Tamandua tetradactyla: one gene and its partner. The protein of the gene in region 1 interacts with the protein of each later gene in a pairwise test. Links are inferred from orthologs where the notes say so. Each region holds a gene or a part of one and is shown on either strand. Other genes may lie near its edges. The genes, in order: RIN1 and RRAS2.

Region 1 (8,924 bases):
AAGAGTGTGGGTCAGGCTGGGCATGGGGGGGGGGGGGGGAAACGACTGCCTCCCTCTCCCCGTTCCCTGCTCACCCAGGCCCAGAGAGCAGCGAAGACACCCTCGTCCCACCCAGATAGGAAGGTCAGGCCCCCTCACCCTCTCCGGTGAGCAGGGTGGGCTCCAGCAGCTCTGACATGTACTCGGCCTCCAGGAGCAGCTCTGGGAGGTCACACTGGGCCAGGACCAGGCTCAGTAGTGGCAGGAACTCGTCGGCACCAGCGCCTTCCCCTGCGGGGACGTGTGGCAGAGGCGGTTTCAGGGTCCCCCAGGCCTAGGGTCAGGGCCCACAGCGTGTCTTGGCCAGCGACCCCTCCCCTCTGCCTGCCAGCCCACAACTATGTGGAGAGGCTGCTCTGTCATCTGGGCCTCAGTTTCTCCATGTGTAAGATGGAGGATCGGACTGATTCTCCCCTACTGCGCCATTCCTGGGTCCTGGTGCCTCTCTTTGAGATGCCTGCGTCTGACTGTGCAGGGGGCCCGCGGGGGGCAGGGGTGTGGGGGGCAGGGGTGTGGACGTACCCGCCTGGGCCTGCAGCGCCGTGTAGAGCAGCTTGCAGGCCTGCAGGAGCCGCTTGACCTTGGCGCTGGGCGAGTAGGCGCGAAGCAGCTGCAGCAGCTTCTGGCGCACCTGCTCCGTCTCCACCGGGGAGGGAAGGCACAGGTGGGACCCGAAGGCTCCGGGGCCCTGGGCCCGGGCCAGGCGCAGGCCCTCGGCGAGGCAGCCCAGGGAGCCGTTGGCGGAGAACCGGCTCCGCAGGCGGGCTGCCAGGAGGGGCCGGAGGGGCTTGAGCACGGAGCGGTGCAGGGACTTCTCCAGAATGTGCTCTGAGGATGGAGAGCCAGTCAGGGCTCAGGCCTCAGGCCCTGCGGCTGGGGGCAGAGTCCTGGGGAGAAGGGCCAGGACTGGGCGGGAAGAGGGGATGGAAGGTGGAGGAATCGGGGTGGGATGGGAGAGAGGAGGGAGAAGGGACGGACCGAGTCACTCGAGTGATGCTGAGACGAGGTGGGTTTGTAAAGCAACAGGCGCAAGGAGTTAGGCTGGAACTGCGGGAAGATGAGAGCATCGAGTGGGGACTGGCTGGAATTGTGGTGAGGGAAGGCAGGGTCGGGGAGCTGGGGTCTTACCCAGCCTCTCCGGAGGCAGCAGCTTCTCGGGGCCCAGCTCGGCGCTCAGCATGGCCCGCGCCTGGCTCAGCGCCTCGCGGACGGCCTGCAGCTCCTGGGGCTCGGGCCTGGCCCGCACCTGAGTCAGCAGGTCCTGCACCAGCTGGCCCACGGCCGTGTGTCTGTCTTGCACCAGCGACCCGGCCGCCCGGCCCACCTGCCGCTCGGGTGCCAGCAGCGAGCAGAAGGCGGCGCTCATGGACCGCAACAGGGGCCGGCGGCGGCGGCCCAAGCAGGGCGAGGACCCTGAGCTGCGCCGGGATGCTGGCGCCGCCCCCTCCTCCTCCTCCGAGCTGCTAGGGGAGCAGCAGTCCACCTCCTGGAGGGAGGGCAGGGGCGGGAGGCTGGGGCCAGCACTCCACGGCACGCGGTACCCCACGGAGCTCTCCCGGCGCAGCAGCCCGTGAGGGGGCAGCCTCTCGGTCTGGTCCGGGGCTGCCTTGGGCAGCACGGGGACCGGGGGCGGCGGCCCAGCTGGGGGAGACAGGGGGCTGGAGGTCTCCGTGGACACGCGTACTTTGAAGCTCCTCTTGAATTTCTCACGCTTCGTGGGGCCCAGGTCCCCTGGGAACAGGGGGTTGAAGAAGCACAGGGCAGCTCCAGTGCCCTGGTCCAGCTCTTGAGGGGACCGGGGCTTCAGCAGGGGCAGCAGCGGGCCTTCAGGGGGATCCTGTGGGGCCCTGACATTGAGGGGGGAGCTCCAGAACTCTAGGGGGGAGAAACCAAGTGGGGGGGGCCTCAGGAACCGGGGAGGGGAGGGCGCCCGACCCAGGGGGAGGCATGACTTCCGGGTGGGTGGCCGCATGGCTCTCCCTTCCCCTCTCGGCAGGGCTGGCAGGGGGCCCTTACCGACGCCCAGATGGGAGATGGCCTCCAGCTCCTTGTGGGTGGCTGCCTGGCGGATGGCTCTGGGGAGCTGGAGCGGGAGGAGGAGGACATCTCTGGGACCGAAAGAGGGAGCAGAAAGTCCAGAGTGAGGGGATCCCTGGGGCCACGGGGGTCCTGGGAGGGGCCAGCGGGGTGGGGGAAGATGGAAGAAGCAGGGACCCCAGGGACCCTAGATTGGCAGGTGCCCTGTGGACACTCACCGGGTGTGGCAGTAGCCGCAGATGAGCTGGACCAGGTCCGGGAACACGAGCTCCGAGCCCTCCAAGGAGACGCCTGGGAGTCACCGGAAGTTGGGGCGTTCTCTGGGTGTCCCCCAGCTGGCCCGCCCCAGCCCCCTTCCCTCCAAGCCAGCCCCTCTCACCCCGGGGGCTCTCCTGGATGTAGTGGCTAGAGACGAAGGAGGGCCCGCCGGCCTCCGGCAGCCGCACACACAGGGTCTGGCACTGGCGGGTGTTGGATTTCCGCACCAGGAACGTCTGCGGGTGGACGGGAGTTGGGGGTGGGGGGTGCAGCTCCGGACCACGGTGTCTGGCCTCTCCCACCCCCACCCTGCCCTCCCACTGGCCAGGCCCCGCAGGCCGCGGGCAAGACTCACCCCGGGGGGCTGGGTCCTCAGCACGTGCAGAGCGGCCGCTGCGTTGGCCCGCAGCTGCAGCCACACGGGCCGGGTGAGCAGCAGGCGCTCCCGCAGGCTCACGGCGCGGCCCGGCCGCTGGGGCTCACCCACCTGCCTTCCGCCGGCGCCGGGTACATCATACAGCAGGTCGCGGGCTGGCCTGCGGGCGGGCAGCCGGACCTGGGCAGGGTGCCGGGGGCTGGGACCCTTGTCCAACCCTCCCTAGCCCCAAAGACCAGGCTCAGCCCTTCTCCAGCCCCCGGACGGACCCTTTCCTGCCCTCCCTCCCCGTCCCACCTGGCTACCCCTCCAACTTCACTAACTTTTCTATCTCCAGGTGCCTGGGAGCAGAGCTGGACGGGCTGGGGTCTCTGCCAGGGCCTGCGCCCGGCTCTCCGGGGCTGTCCATGGCTGGGAGCGCCTTAGCTTCTCCTGGGACTCGGGAAGCGAATCCAGCCCCCCAGGCGAGGACACTCACATTCCCGGCGGTGAGTAACACTTCCTGAGGGCGGGGCGCCCGGTCACACCCGCCAGTTAACTCTTGTGTGTCCATTCTGCTGCTTCTGCTCTGGGCACAGCCTCAGGGGCCTGGGATCCCCTTCCTGCCTGCACCTCACTGCGGATACCAGTTTTGGGGTTGCTGCCGCCAGTGCTTCCCACTGCCTCCCTGGCCTCAAGCCACACCCCTGGGCGGGAAGGAGTTCATCACGGCTTGCGGGGAAAGGGTTAAGCAGGGCTTGCCTCAGGCCCTGGGGGCCCAAGCCTCGCCCTGGGAACACCTTTAAGTCTGTGGTCAACTGATCCTTTTTTTTTCCTCCGAGGCCTTAGGGTCAGCCTTGTGGGCGAGCGCCCCCTATTGGTTACGGATGACTCATCCCTGAGCCTAACCTGGACTTTGGGATTTCAGGTTGCCATGGAGAAAAGATGCCATGTCGCCATGGAAACGAACCCCTTTGCTTAACTGAGGTGCTGGGGGTGGTTCTAACACTCAGCGCTAAACCGGGGGGAGTCTGGCTGTGAGGTCGTCAGCACACGGCGCTGCTGCCGGCTGCCTCCCACGCACAGGCCCTGCCAGCCTGCCTTGCCAATCTGCCAAGCAACCCGGGCAGGTGCAGACATGACCCAGCCCCCAAGCCCTGAGCACCCGTATGCTCGCCACGTGCTCTACCTGGGCCACATGTTGCTTCAGACTGTGCTAAGAAGTACCGGCCCCCCACCCAGCTCAGAGGTACAGGCTCCTGCTGGGTAGTGGGGAGAGGTGCCACATCCCAGGGACCCGAGGAGGGTCTGCCTGTCCCAGGTGGCTCCCCACGGGAGCCCTGATTCCCTTGCCAGGTGAATCAGACATACACACAGGCCATGCCAGAGTCCCAGGAAAGGTTTTAATTCCAGTCCCTACCACCTAGGAGGCAGACATGAAAAGACGCCCTGAGAGAAGCTGGGAAGCCTGGCTTTCCACCTCCAGCTCAGCCAGGGCAGATGGGCCCCCCAGTCATAAGTTACGATTTAAAGTTCCCATGCAGTGGGGCCTAGCTCCTTCCCTCAGTTCTGGAGAGCTGGAATCCAGGGTCACAGGAAGGGGAAGTTGCTTTGGCTTAAAATGAGGCAAGGGTTCTTTGTCTGGGAGGCATGGAGACGGCTGATCTTTGGGAGGGGGAGACAGTGGGCCGGTCGGGAACAGGGAAGACATCTTGGCTGCCCAGGTCAGCTCCACGTCTACTGCCGTGCAGACCCCTGAGGAGGCGGCGGAGGAAGAGTCCAGACAAGTGACCGCCAGGGGTGAGGCCCCAGCAGCCACAACGGGGGGCCAGCTGGGCTGTCAGGTGGACCCAGAGGGGCTTGTCAGCCCACCCTTCCGCAGGGGAATCTTGGGTTTGGTGCTGGCCACGCCGAGGGACCCCGTGGTGGTGAACAGAGGGTCACGGTCCTGGGGGCATATGGGAAGGGGACAGTCACTGTGGGGAGCCACCAGGGAGGGCCACCTCACATGCGGGCTCGGGGTATGGCTTTGGCTCTGGGGCTGCTCCCCAGCCTGAGCTGCACCGGGGCTCTGGATTCAGCCCTCTGCCCAGGAACTCCCCCCAGCCTTCAGGCCCACACTGACCCAACCTCGCTGGTCAGCCTCCCCCGCCCCAGCAACCCAAAGCTCCCACCCCAGGTTCCTGCAGCCCAAATGCTCACTCCACCCCCAGGTCTAGATCATTCTTTCTGTCTTGGGCCATGATGATTCTGACAGGTCCACTGCTTCTCTCAGGACTCCCTTCTGGAGGTGGGGCTAGAAGAGGTGACAGTAAGGGGACAAGGGGGACGGGAGGAAGTGTAGCCTCCATGGTTCTTACCATCCGATTTTCTCTTCTGAGGGGACACAGCTGCCCTAGCCTGGATGAGCAAGAAGAAAAGCCCCTCTGAGAGCCTGCCTCCAGCTTGGCAAGGACCGTCCCCCCATATCAACCTCCATGGAAGTGGGGGGCTGCTGGATCAGCTGTGCTTTGAGAGGGGTGGGGAGCTTAAGACCCTTTCCAAGCAAAGCCCTGATGTCTGTTTTCAGATACCCAGCCAGCCCAGACGCCCTCCAGGAGCCTGCCACCCTTCCCTCCCTGTCCCCCCACCCCATCGGAACCTGCCCTGCAACCAGAAGGGGCTGGCAGGCTAAAAAGACCGTCTCAGGCAAAGGGAGAACGTCTGTCTGCCAAGGATGATAAGAAACCTGGGTGGCAGAGAACCCTGTCTCTACAGAGACAAGCCCAACTTTGGTATCTGAGAGAGGTCTCACACTGCCCTGTGATGGGGCTGGGGTGGGGGACAGTAGGGACCCCCTACCTTTTTGATAGCAGTCCAGTCCTCTAGAATGTCGATTTCCTGCAGCATATACACGATGTAAGGGCCTGCGACAGGAGTCAAGGAAGCAGGAGCCGAGCGGGGTTGCAGGGGATGGGTGGGGGGGTGGGGCGGGGGGACTGGGGCACCAACCCAGTGCTTGAGAGAGGGCAGCGTGAGACCGGACAGTTGTGAACCTGGGTTTGTGGTCAGGTCTCACCTCCCACCATGAGACCCCACCCCTGGCCCTCACAAGGACCTCACTGCCTACCTCCCCTCGGCTCACCCTCACCTTCATCCAGTCTCAAGGCCTGAGTCCAAGGTGCACCCCACCCCCCTTGCTCCTTCTATTCCCTCCCTTCCTGTGGCATAAACTGTTCCCTCTCCTGGCCCTTTCTCTACCAAGAACAGATGTGGAGGTCTCCCAACCCTGGGCATCACATTTCCCTCTGGGGACTGTCCACTACCCACACCTTACCCCCCGCCCCGTGACCACCTGTGCTCTGCATTTGACATCCCCATGCCCTCACAGTCCATTCATGCCTTAGTGTGCTCCCAGCTGCCTGCATCTGCTCTCCATCACCAAAGTGACCAGGACCCAAGAATCTAGTTCCTTCAGAAATGCCCTCAGAGGTGGCAAAGATAATTCAACATAATTCTGCTGGGATATACCAGGAGGGTCCCGGGGGTGGAGACAGGGCAGGCCTTGGATTGGAGGGGCTCAGGCCCAAGGCAGGGAAGGCAGAGACAACTCCTCCCATGTGGGAGGTGGGCAGCCCAGTTGGCTCACGGAAGAGGTGACACTTGAGATAAGCACCGAACAGGTAGGGACAGCTGTGAAGGCACAGTCGGAGGGTGGAGCACAAGCAAAGGCACAGACGCGGGAGAGCCTGGAACATGCTCTGGGGCAACTGAGTGGCTTGGGAGAAATCATGGAAAGCACAGATGGGCCCAGAGGCCAAACCTCACCCAGAAGTCATGGGGCGTCATTAAACTGATGTTTCTATCTATGGTCCACAGAGCCTAGGAGAGACCCACGGCCCCACAATAAATTTCTGACAGCTGGATCTGCTGGGATATGGTCACATGACACCCAACGACCGCGAATGTCTCTAGTCCAACCCTGCCCTTCGTGTCACCTCCATCCCCCCACCCCTGGGGTCTGGTGCTGACACTGATCCCCCACCCAGTCTCAGGCCACCTTGGGGGAAGGATACCAGAGACGAGAGGTGCCTTCTTCCTCTTGCTGGGTGGCAGGGAGTCCCAGGTCCTTGAGCTGCCCCTGGCGTGCAGCTTGTCATCCCACCACTCTGAGCCCCCAGACCCAGGATCAGTCACAGGTGTTGGCCCTCACAGGCCGTCCCCACGCTTGTAGAGCCAGCCCAGCCTCTCCTCCCTTCCCCACCCACCATCACCCAGGGCCATGCGTGGAAGCCTGGGCTTGGGGTCGGAAGCCTGAGTTCAGGCCCCAACTGCACAGCTGTGCAGCCCTGGGAGAGGTCACTGCACTTTCGTGAGCTTTGGTTTCTTCACTTGCTCCGTGGACAGTGGGGCAATGACAATTCCTGCCTCCTCAGGAGTCCCCCACCCCCAAGAAGCCTACTGGCAGAGCAATGGACATGAAGTGCGAATGTGGAAGTGGGGGAACTGTGGTTACCATACATGTGGGCATGTCCAACCAACACCTCGTTCCTGCAGGAGAACAGGGCGCAGGAGGGCAAAGGAACCCTGTTCCTGGGCCCTGCTGCGTGGCAGGCACAGAATCAAGCCCTCTGCATGCCAGGTCTCAGTCAGTCAGTCCTCACTATGACTCCAAGCAGCAGCTCTGTCCTCATCCCCACAAGCAGTCAGGAAAGCTGAGGTCCAGAGCTGGGTGAGACACTCACCGGAGCTGATGTCCAGACTCTGGCGGTCCTCCTCCAGCCTCTGGATCCGCTCCTGCAGCTCCCCCTGAAGGGTGTCATAGAGCAGAAGCTTCTCACTCTGGGAGAGGCAAGGGCAGCTCAGTCGGGGGGTGGGGGTGGGGGGCAATCCCTGGCCTCACCTACCACCCTGCACCCAGTGCCCTCACCTCCAGGTGCTGTTTGGCTCCCTGCAGCTCACACTCATACTTATTCCTGATCACGTCCAAACAGAAGCCCTTATAGATCCCTGCACAGGGAAGGAGAAAGGGGGTCCTGCTTGATCAGGACCCTGGGTGCCCGAGGAGAAGGGCTGGGAGCACAGAGCTGGGAGGAGGGAGGAGGGGCACAGGATGGCCCACGGACCTGCCACCTGAATGCGAATCTTGAGGCTCCGCTGCAGCCCCCCAAGAGGCTCTGTGTACTCGGGGGCTCTCTCGGCCCCCACTTCTTCCAGCCGCAACCGTAGCTGGCTCAGTCGTTCCCTGAACAACCTGGGAGGTAAAAAGAAAAAAGAAAGGCAGCCATGTAGCTATCTGTCTACCACTCTTGGGCAAACACGTGCCAAGCACCCGCTCCCGGAGGGCCTGGTGTTAGGAGCTCACGCACTCTGGACCCCGGACACCCTGCCCAGCACCAGGCCCACTGCCTCCTCAGCCCAGGGGCCCCCAAGACCCAGCCCCAGGTGTTTCCGGACTCACTTCTCCTTTAGCTCTGAGAACTGCTTCTCCAGGTCTAGCATCTCGTTCACACACTCGCTCCGGCGGCGTTCGCAGTCCTCGTCGTCCATCTCTGAGGACAAGAGGCTGGGCAGGGTTGGCTCTGAAGAGCAGCAAGGAGGGGTGCGCATGTGGTGGGGGAAAGTGGGACTCACCGGAGCTCTCCTCCTCTGACTCCGTCTGGCTGCCGCTCCTTTCCTCCTCACTCTCTTCCTCCTCCCCGTTCATCTCGGCGGCCGAGTCGCCCTCTGCTTCCATCTCCTCTGTGTCTTTGCTCGGAGGCTGGACGGGCATCTGGACTCTGGGGGAAGGAGCGGAGCCATCACTTACTACTGCCCGCAGCTTGGAGTGGTAGAGTGGCCTGACACTTAATCAGAAGGGACAGCCAGGGAGTCCCAGCAGGCAGGAAGGGTACCGCCTGGCCCTATGTCCCAAAAGCCCGGAAGCCATGGATACACTTATGCCCTTGGGCATTGTTGGTGATCCCAATCCTGGGAATACCATCCAAGGAAATGATCTGTGAGATGGGAAAGGCCAAGGGCATGACAGTGCTCAGGGCAGCCTTATTGGTATTTGCAGCCATTGGGGGAAAGCTGGGTAGGCTGGGAGGTAGCCTGAAAAAAAGCAGACATGACAACACAGAAAAACACCTCCGTTACAATGTTAAGGGTGACCCTGGGATACTAAGTTGTCCTTCCTGGGATCCTTATGAGGATGTAGATACATAGTACCCAGCAGGATGTCAGACAAGTTGCCTTTTCCTTTCAAAAAAGTTTG
Region 2 (9,002 bases), on another chromosome or scaffold:
CCACAGCTAGGTAAGTAAGAAAGACTCTGAATTTCAAAGATGCAGATTTGTTCACCCAAGCCCAACATTTAGCAGAGAAGAAAATGAAGCCTTGAAGAGATTAAGCAATTCTCCCAGTCACCTGGAGAAAGTGATCTACAACATTCCATTTTGCACAATGTTAAGATCATTTCCTACCTAGAGTTTACTCATCATTTAGGTATTCCATTTACCAACAGAACTTAAAAGGACTGTTTTCAAAAGTAATGAACAACAAAAAACAAGGAGTACGTTAACACACACTTTTTTGTTTATTTGGGGGATTTTTTTTTCTATTTTTTTTACATATACACTTTTAACAACATAATACCTTGCATTCTTTTATCACCCATGGGTATAGTGTGAACCTCTATATTCATTGTTAAAGAGGTAAAGGCACCGCAATTAAATAAAGATGACTTTAATTTCCTAATTTTCCAGCTGTTCATTGCACAGAATGAACTAAAACTGAGAACTAAGAAAGTCAAGGCTAGAAGCAAGGGGGTTTTAAGTTCTCCACGCCCAAATTTGTTAATCATATTTTTCTGTTCAAGACAATTTAAGAGAAAAAGTATTTTCTGAAAACTGTAAAAACAGATTGTTATTTTAGGTATCCTATAAAATAAATAAATAAAAAACAACTGTGCCTCCTAATTTCCTACAAAGAGAACTGACTTTCCCTTGGCAAGGTGATTATTCTTCTGCTCTCTCCTCTCCCTCCAACTACTGGACAAACACAGCAGGATGGATTTTAACTTCCCAAGGCTCAGACATATAAACTGTTGTCCTGACAAGTGTAGGTAATAAGCGCCATTATTTTCATCATCTAAGACTGATATAATAACAGCCATAATAACATAGGTAAGCCTTAATATGTTCTAGACATTGTTCTCTGCCCCTGACAAGTCACCTTGTTTAACTCTCATGTCCACTGTATGAGATACTTTTTAAAATTATTTCCCCGGTTTACAGATAAGGAAAACTGAGTTACAGAAAGGTTAAGTAATATGCCTTAACTTACATATTGTGCAAGTGGCAGAGGTGGGACTGATTCTATGCAGTTCAGTCCTACCTCTGCCTGACTCCTGTCTCCCCAGAAAGTCTGAACTTGAGAGTCCAAATTCCTCTCCCCTTTACTGGCCCCAAGTCATGTGCTTTTCCACTGCCTCCCTCGCCTGCCTCCTCTCTCGGAGCTCCTTACTTACATATGACATATACTCACTCTTTCTCCTCACCACTAAGCCTACGCAGTATTTCTATCAACTCTTCCCAAACTGACCTTCCTGTGATACTGAACTCCCTTTGTACTTACTGTGTGTTACGAAACTTGTACACATTCACACTTACAATAATAGGTACCTTTAACTGAGCACATACTAAGTCCTAGACACAATGCTAGAAACTTTCCCATAATTTAAAGAGTTATAATAAATGTGCAATTGGACCCATTTTACTGATGAGAAAATTGAAGCTCAGAGAGGCTAAATATCTTAGAAATGTTCTCAGAGACAGTAAATGCCAGCGCAAAAGACGTGCTCAATTCTGTGTGACTCAAGGTTCATACTCTTTCTCTATGTACATACACATGTCTTTCTCATGCACTTCTTTCTAGAGCATCTAGATACAGTACTATTCATAAAGAAAGCATTTCGTCAGCTAACGAATTTCAGAAAATCATAAGGAAGGCAGCAATCGCTGTATTTTAATGGTCTCTAATGCTATTTCCCCCAAAACAAAAAATTCCAATACCTTAATAACTAGTTTACAGACTCAGTGCTTTCCCTGGCTCCGTCCAAAAAGTTAAGAAACATTTGTAGCTTACATATTTTAGGTAACATTTTTTATCAATACTGGAAATCAGGATTATTCTCCTCCGCACTAACCATAAAACTACAATCCCCAGAGAAAAGTATAAATTGTTTTGCTTTGCTATCAGTTGGTCTTTCTTGGCCCTAGAGAAATGGCAACATAACAGCATCCCTGATTCTGCAGCCTGTTAACACTAAAACCAATCTCGCCTCTTAGTGTGATTTTTTTAAAACCCACTAAAGACCATGTTGTAAATGCTCACTACATAAACATCCTCTCTTCCTGGATACATAGGTTTTCTGCAGTAACCCTCTAAATTTCACCCAAAGTGCTAAAATAGTTTTAATCTCTTGGCATGTTACAGCAGCAAGTATTGCTCCTTAGCCAATGTGAAAGGTGATGATCACATTTCTGTTACAGTTCTCTGTATTTTAATGTCACTATAAACATTAGGTGAAATAAAATAAGCTATTCAAGTATTCCAATTGATGACAAATGGGTGAAACGGAAACCAGAAATAAAATAAATATTGCACCAAAGCTTCTTAACAATACTCTTGCTATGAATAAGAATGCCTTTGTTACCCCATAAAACGTTCTACCTTGGTTCTTTCCCAGTAAATGCCACACCTTCTATATTGACAAAAGCATAAAGATATTCGGGTTTCTCTTAAAAAAAAAAAAAAGATCACTCAAGCCTCGCACCAAAAGCAAAGTCAAAGCATGAAGAATTCCACCTCCTTTTTCTTTACCACAACCCCTGACTTTCGGCCTCTAGCAACAAGAAAGGGGTGGGGAGGGGAGGGGTGAGGGTGGTTGTAACACAGAACACACGCCTCAATCATCTCTTAGCCTGGCCCATCCCAAACTTCACCTTGGCACAGCGAAAAGCCTGAAGACACCAGAAATTCCTAGGAAATGGTCTCACCCTTATCGGAGAACATTTTTAACTTCCTAGAAGCCACTCATGTCCCTCGGGATTATCACACACCCCTACCCAAACATATTACCTAAGAGATGACTTAAAAGAAAAGCACAAACACACACAAAGAAAAAACACACTGCTAGACGCGGGCAGCTCCGGCTCAGACTGCGCGAAGCCCGGAGACCACGCGGAGCCGCGGCCAAGTTGCCACCGCGATCGCACCGCCGGAGCAGGAGGCAGCCGGGAGGCGGCAAGGCCACCGGCACTGCGGGGCTCCAGCCACACGTCGGACGCCGGGGCCCACGGGGCAGGAAGCCCGGCTCGACGGCGCTGCCTCTCCGGAGGGCTCCGGCCCCGGTCAGAGCGATAAGGTAGATCGGCGCTTCCCACCCTACCAGCTCCGCCCTCCCGCCACATTCCTGAGAAGACGGGCTCCCGGGACGCCGACCCGGGCGCCGGGCAGGCAGGAGCGCCGCGCCGCAGCCGCCGGGCAGGAGAACAGAGCCGGCCCCGCGCCCACCCGCCCTCCGCCCCGGGCCCGCGCGGCGCCTCCGGGGCGGGGTTGCGGCGCCCGCCCCGCCACAGGTAGCGAGCCCCCGCCCGCCGCCGCCCCGGCGCCCCGGCAGGCCCGCTTCCAGGCACCTGGATGAACTGGATCGTGAGCGCCGATTTGCCCACGCCGCCCCCGCCGACCACCACGAGCCGGTACTTCTCCTGGCCGGAGCCGTCCCGCCAGCCGGTCGCGGCCATGGGGACACCGCCGAGCCCAGCCCGGCCGCGCCGAGCCGTCGCCACCCGCCCTAGGCCCGGCTCCGGGGACGTGTGCGGGCTGCGGACGAGTAGCCGGGCGGGGGTCCTGGGCGCCGGGAGCTGCGAGGAGGGCCGGTCCACGCGGAAGCGCGGCGCCCGGGGCTGGCCGGTCCCGCCCAAGGCGCGGAGAAGCGGGGTGTCCGCCGGAGCCAGGGGCGGCAGCAGCCGGGGGGCGCGCTCCTCTACCCGTCTCCGCAGCTCCAGCCGAACGCAGCCTCCAGCGCCGCTACAAATGGCCGTCTGGGGGCCGGGCTGCCGGGCTGAGGTTCTGCATATGTATGAGGGGGCGGGGGAGGGAGCGGGGCGGGGCCGCAATGGCCTGGCGCTGAGATTCGGGAGTTGGCTGAGACTTCATACCCCTACCGAGGTGCCCCTCCAATCCCTTGACTCTGTGTGTGTTTGGCTGAGAGAGAGAACGTGTGTGTGTATGTGTGTGTGTGTGTGCGTGTGCGTGCGTGTAGGAGTGTGGAAGAGGGTGTCAGTGACTGGGTGTGACCATAATTGTATATGTCAGGGATTATGTGGATGAAAAATACATTATGTGACAGCATGTGTGTGAAAAATGGAGCTGTTGTCATCTTAGTTTAATTTGTAGAGAGCAAATATCGTGTTTGAAGAGTACAGACAGTGACTGTGGTTGCATGAAAAATCCAGTATGTGACAGTGATTGAGGATTAGAGCTGTCACAGACATTGTGTGTGTGATGCGCTTGCAGAGGTCACCGTGTGTGAGGAATGTGACAGTGACTGAGTGTGAGGAATAAGTCACAGTGACTGAGCTTGTGCAGACAAGAGTGAAAGTGAGAGATTTTGTATGTGTCTGGAGAGTATCTAAGAGGCTGCGTTTATGTGTAAAAAATATGTGGTCATTGTATTTGGGGAGTATGAATGTGAGAAATTGATTTTTACCTATTGAACACACTAAAAAGAGTGTCCCTGCCCTCCGAAATGGGGGAGACAGCCTGGGTAAGGAGCAAATCATCAGACACAATGATAAAGGCTATAACTGCATAAGCACTCGGTTGCACATGTGCCCATAGGAGAGGCACTCATTCAATCCAGAGTTGGCTGGTCAGAGAACTTAAGGATAAATAAGATCGATGAATAATTAATTGGAAGAAAAGAATCACAGGGAGAGGAAATCACATATGCAAAAGCCAGAGGAGAGAAGGAAGGATTGTCATATGATTTTGAATGTTGCAGGAGATTGCATGATGGTGATAATGAATGAAAAGTGATTATTTCTGTATATCAGTTTAACCAAATGTAACAGTAATCACAGCTCTATGTAGAAGATCTGGAGCCAAATCTGGATTCAAATCTCACCTCTGCCACTGATGGTGTGACGTTAGGAACTTAACCTCTGTGCTTTGGTTTCCTCCTCTCTAAAATAAGGATAATAAGACTACTTACCTCATGGGTAGGTAATAAGAATTTTACTAAGCATCGAATGAATCAATACATGTAAAGCACATAAAACAGTGTCTGGCATGTGGTAAGCCTCTCTGAAAGTTTTGGAACATGACTCCAAGTTCCTGGACACTACTTAGTGACCTTGGTGACTTGCTTGGGATCAGTAGAATGCAGTGAAAGAGATGCTGCATAACTTTAGAGGCAGCTCCAGAGAGCTCATGCAGCTTCCCCTTGTTCTCTTGGATGCTGACCATGGGGGAAACAAAGTAAGAAGTTTGAATTACCCTGAGACTGCCATGCTGAAGAGGCCAGATACAGACATGACAGTTCAAAGTCTAGCTGAGCTCCCAGCAGACCATTAGCTGGTCCTGACATCAAGTACCAGCCATCTGAGTGAGCCATCTTGGACACCCAGCCTGGTCAATCTTTAGACAACCACAAACCCAGTCGGCACCTGACTGCAACTGCATGAAAGACCCAGTCAATAACTGTCCTTCAGTGTGTAAGTATGAAGAGCACCCAAACAGCTTTTACCCAAATTCACCTGTTATGAACGTTTTACCCCACTAGCGTTGTCATTCTCCTCTAGACAGGTAGATGATAGAGATATATGTTTTTTCCTGAACCATTTAAGGATAAGTATCCTACATCCTGACTCTTTACCCCTAAATACTTCAGTGTGTATTTCTTAAGAATAGTGATTTTCACAGAGCAATAACACAGTTATCAACTCAGTAAATTTAACATTGATATGGATACTTTAATCTAATTTAGAATGCACACTCCAATTTTGTCAGTTGACTCAATGATGACCTTTAGGGCATTTTTCCCCTTCAGTAAAGGACCAAATCTAGGGTCAGGTGTTGAATTACTTGCCAAGTCTCCTTTGCTTCTTTTAATATCTTATAAAATGGTGGCTTTAAGTAGGTTGGGGTTTAGGGATATTTGTTATGCAACAGTAATAACCAGAATATATGACATATATTATTATCAATGTGGAAAGAGAAAGTAGAAAATGAAGAGAGAAAGAAAAGAGGAGCCCATGACAAGAGAAGACTGAGAAATGCCCAAGAAAGGGCCAACTATACTCCCTGCAGATACCTCTCAGTGTCTGCCTACCCCTGCAATGAACCATAATTCCTCAGGACCACATCTTCATCTACTCTATCCCTTTCTTTATTGACTGGACTCAAAGCTGAGTGTTCAGCAAGTACGAAGCCCATGTGCTCAACCCCACCCAAACAGCATATTCCAAAGCACTTTCTTGTCCTTAGAAAACACTCCAAAAACCCTTAGCAAGAAAGAAACTGCCCTGTAAACTAAATCACTACAGAAATAGAAGATGGGAGAGAAAGAGCTAGTTGTGTCTTTCAAGCTTAATTATTAAAGTGCTTTTTTTCATTTTAACCTGAAAAGATTCCTTCTCGAGTATCTGGGAGACAATAGGGAAATATATAAATCTCTTCTAGAGAAGAATGACCCAGACCCTTGGAAAGAATGATAGAGATAACCCCACTTACCTGACAGAAAGAAATCGTGTGACTCGGGAAGGAATTTCCCAACATCACTCAACAAGTTGTTTGCAGGAATTAGGACACAGGTCTCCTGACTCCTCTGCTCAGGGCTAAAGCTGGATGTTATCCAGATTCCAACAGAGCCTCAGAACACAGAGCAGAGACAGTGCTGAAGCTGCCAGTCAAGACCAGGGCTGCTGATTCCATCATTTTGACTGAAATTGAATAACTGTCTGGCTAACGTATTGTCAAGAGATTTTGACAGGCAGATTCAGAGCCACATTTGTCCCACAGAATTGTTTGGGCACATAACTAAATTTTTTAAAAATTGAATTGATTGCCAACATTAAAAAATAGATACTTCACATAAAAATCTGGATTTCTAACTCTTCTTGAAAAATCCAATTGGAATATATAACCACACTGGGCTGGCACTGTCATATGGCAATAACTGGCTAAAAGTAAGGACTGACTGTCCTTTAGAAGAGGTATCAATGCTCCTATTCATCAGAGACCCCAGCCAGCTTTTTGTAACACGGCCCACCTATTTCATTTTAATGTTACCTGCCAGACCTTTGTGGGCATGAGGAGTTTGCAAATCCTACTACTATATACCAGTGTTTTCTACCTAGGATGCATATTGAATCACCTGTTGAGACTTTTAAAATGAAGAGCCTGGGCTCCACCCCAGACCTGCTCCATGAGACTCTCTAAGGTTGCAGACTCAGAAAATGTACTTTTAAAAAATATCCAAAGTGGCCCTGAGATGCTACCAAGATTAAGAACTACTGGAGGAGAATGGACTCATGTTCACTCTTTATTTCAGGACAAACAGTCATTTTCTCATCTGGAGTGTTGGTTACTCATCATCTCTAAAAACCACTGGCCCAAATGGTATCCCTGGCCCATCCCAAAGGAAGGATTTGGAGATGGAGTGAGGAGGGGGGCCCTAAACCCAATATTCCCCCGACCTCATCTATAGCTGAGTCAGACAGAGCCCACACTTGGTGACCAAAGAAGGCCAAGCCCCCGGAGAAAAGAGGATGCAATCCTTATCCTGGCTAATGGAAGAGCATCATCCACTTATTTCCTTAATGGGCCACAGCTTCTAATGTGAATGAATGGCTGGTGCAGAACGAAACAGCCCAGCAGGAGCTGCAGGCATGTGAGATGAGACAGCCGCACAAATCTATTCCTTGTTTAAAGATCATGCTGCTAAAAATAGAAACTGAAACACACACTCAGGCGTGTGCACACACACACACAGCCCCGAGGAAGGCCACGACAGAGCTGGCAGAATCCAGAGCTTAGTGGAGGATCAGCTGAGAATCACAGAACCTTAGAGCAGGAAAACCACCCCTCAATCATCCCCTCTAAAGCTCTCGTTTTACAGATGGGATAGCAAAGGCCCAGAGAAGAGAAGGGTGATTCCCAGTGTCGCCTAGAGGTAGAGCAAAAGCACCACTTGAACACAAATCCAGTTTCCCAGCCCGGGGCCCATCCAAGTGTAGCACCCTGCTTTAGTCCAGCAGGCTGGGCAGTGGGAAAAGCCCCACTCTCCTCGGGGCACAGCTTCCAGGAAGACTAAGGCAAGGGTGTCCACCACAGTATTTTTTAAAATAATGAAAAACTGGAAACTAATTAAATCGCCACAACAGAGGCTTCATTAAATAAATGATGATATGGCCATACCAGGAAATACTATGTGGCCATTAACAGTAATTTTTATTTATATAAGGAAAAAAAATTTTTGTCTATATAAGAAAATGTTAATAATATATCAAGTTAGAAGAGAAGGATACAAAACAGGGTGTACAGTATAATTCCAATTGTTATAAAAAGATATATATTTATACCACTACCACTTATCGAGCACTTTCCATGAACCTGGCACTCTGCTAATCACTTAAAATGCATTATCCAATTTAATCCACACACACCCATCTGAAATGGGTTCTACCATTATTTGCATTTTACAAAGAAACTGCAATGCAGAGATGTCATCCAACCAGTAAGTGGCAGAATGCATATTTGAACCCCAAGATTCTGTGTTCCAGGGCTTTTGCAGTTAACCACTATGCATGGATTTAAAAACAACAACAACAAAAATTAGCTGGATATTCAGTTGTCCTAGATTGTGAGATCACAGGTAAGTTTTATTGTCTATGCTTTGCTTTTTTTCTTTTCTATATTACTGTTTAATCAGAAAAATATATAAAATTATGTTTTTGAAGAATTTTTAATGTTATAGGGGAAAGTAGGAGTGAAAGTTGTGCACATCTGATCTAACTATGTAAAATTAGAGGGTAGTTAGGTAATCTGGAAGAGAGAATTAACCATTCCAGGAAGAATGACTCTCAGAGTCAATACATAGTAAATACTTATGACCTCAATCTCTCACTCACTCGGGTTGAGTGATGGCTCAACTGTGATGGCTGCTTTTGTTTGCTCCCTGCACCAGCTTTCCAAAGAGAGGCTTGTGCCTACTGCTCGAAGGGGGCTGCTCCCTGCAAAT

The links.
Region 2: the proteins of RIN1 (region 1) and RRAS2 interact in binary tests that used the Homo sapiens proteins (3 or more experiments, as listed by UniProt). The link is inferred for Tamandua tetradactyla from reciprocal best matches to the Homo sapiens genes RIN1 and RRAS2.

Annotation. Positions count from the first base shown.
Region 1 is NC_135335.1:8,081,095-8,090,018, reverse strand, and holds the start of RIN1 (ras and Rab interactor 1), read right to left. Parts: upstream 3,520-8,924; 5' UTR 3,264-3,519; coding exon 3,034-3,263; intron 2,871-3,033; coding exon 2,690-2,870; intron 2,571-2,689; coding exon 2,456-2,570; intron 2,368-2,455; coding exon 2,295-2,367; intron 2,148-2,294; coding exon 2,056-2,147; intron 1,915-2,055; coding exon 1,168-1,914; intron 868-1,167; coding exon 562-867; intron 271-561; coding exon 139-270; intron 1-138. Other genes in the region: BRMS1 (breast cancer metastasis-suppressor 1), read right to left, coding at 4,203-4,444, 5,050-5,089, 5,531-5,595, 6,745-6,837, 7,414-7,510, 7,599-7,678, 7,795-7,922, 8,130-8,220 and 1 more. UniProt on the Homo sapiens protein: Ras effector protein, which may serve as an inhibitory modulator of neuronal plasticity in aversive memory formation. Can affect Ras signaling at different levels. First, by competing with RAF1 protein for binding to activated Ras.
Region 2 is NC_135334.1:89,724,185-89,733,186, forward strand, and holds the start of RRAS2 (ras-related protein R-Ras2), read right to left. Parts: upstream 3,516-9,002; 5' UTR 3,502-3,515; coding exon 3,394-3,501; intron 1-3,393. UniProt on the Homo sapiens protein: GTP-binding protein with GTPase activity, involved in the regulation of MAPK signaling pathway and thereby controlling multiple cellular processes. Regulates craniofacial development.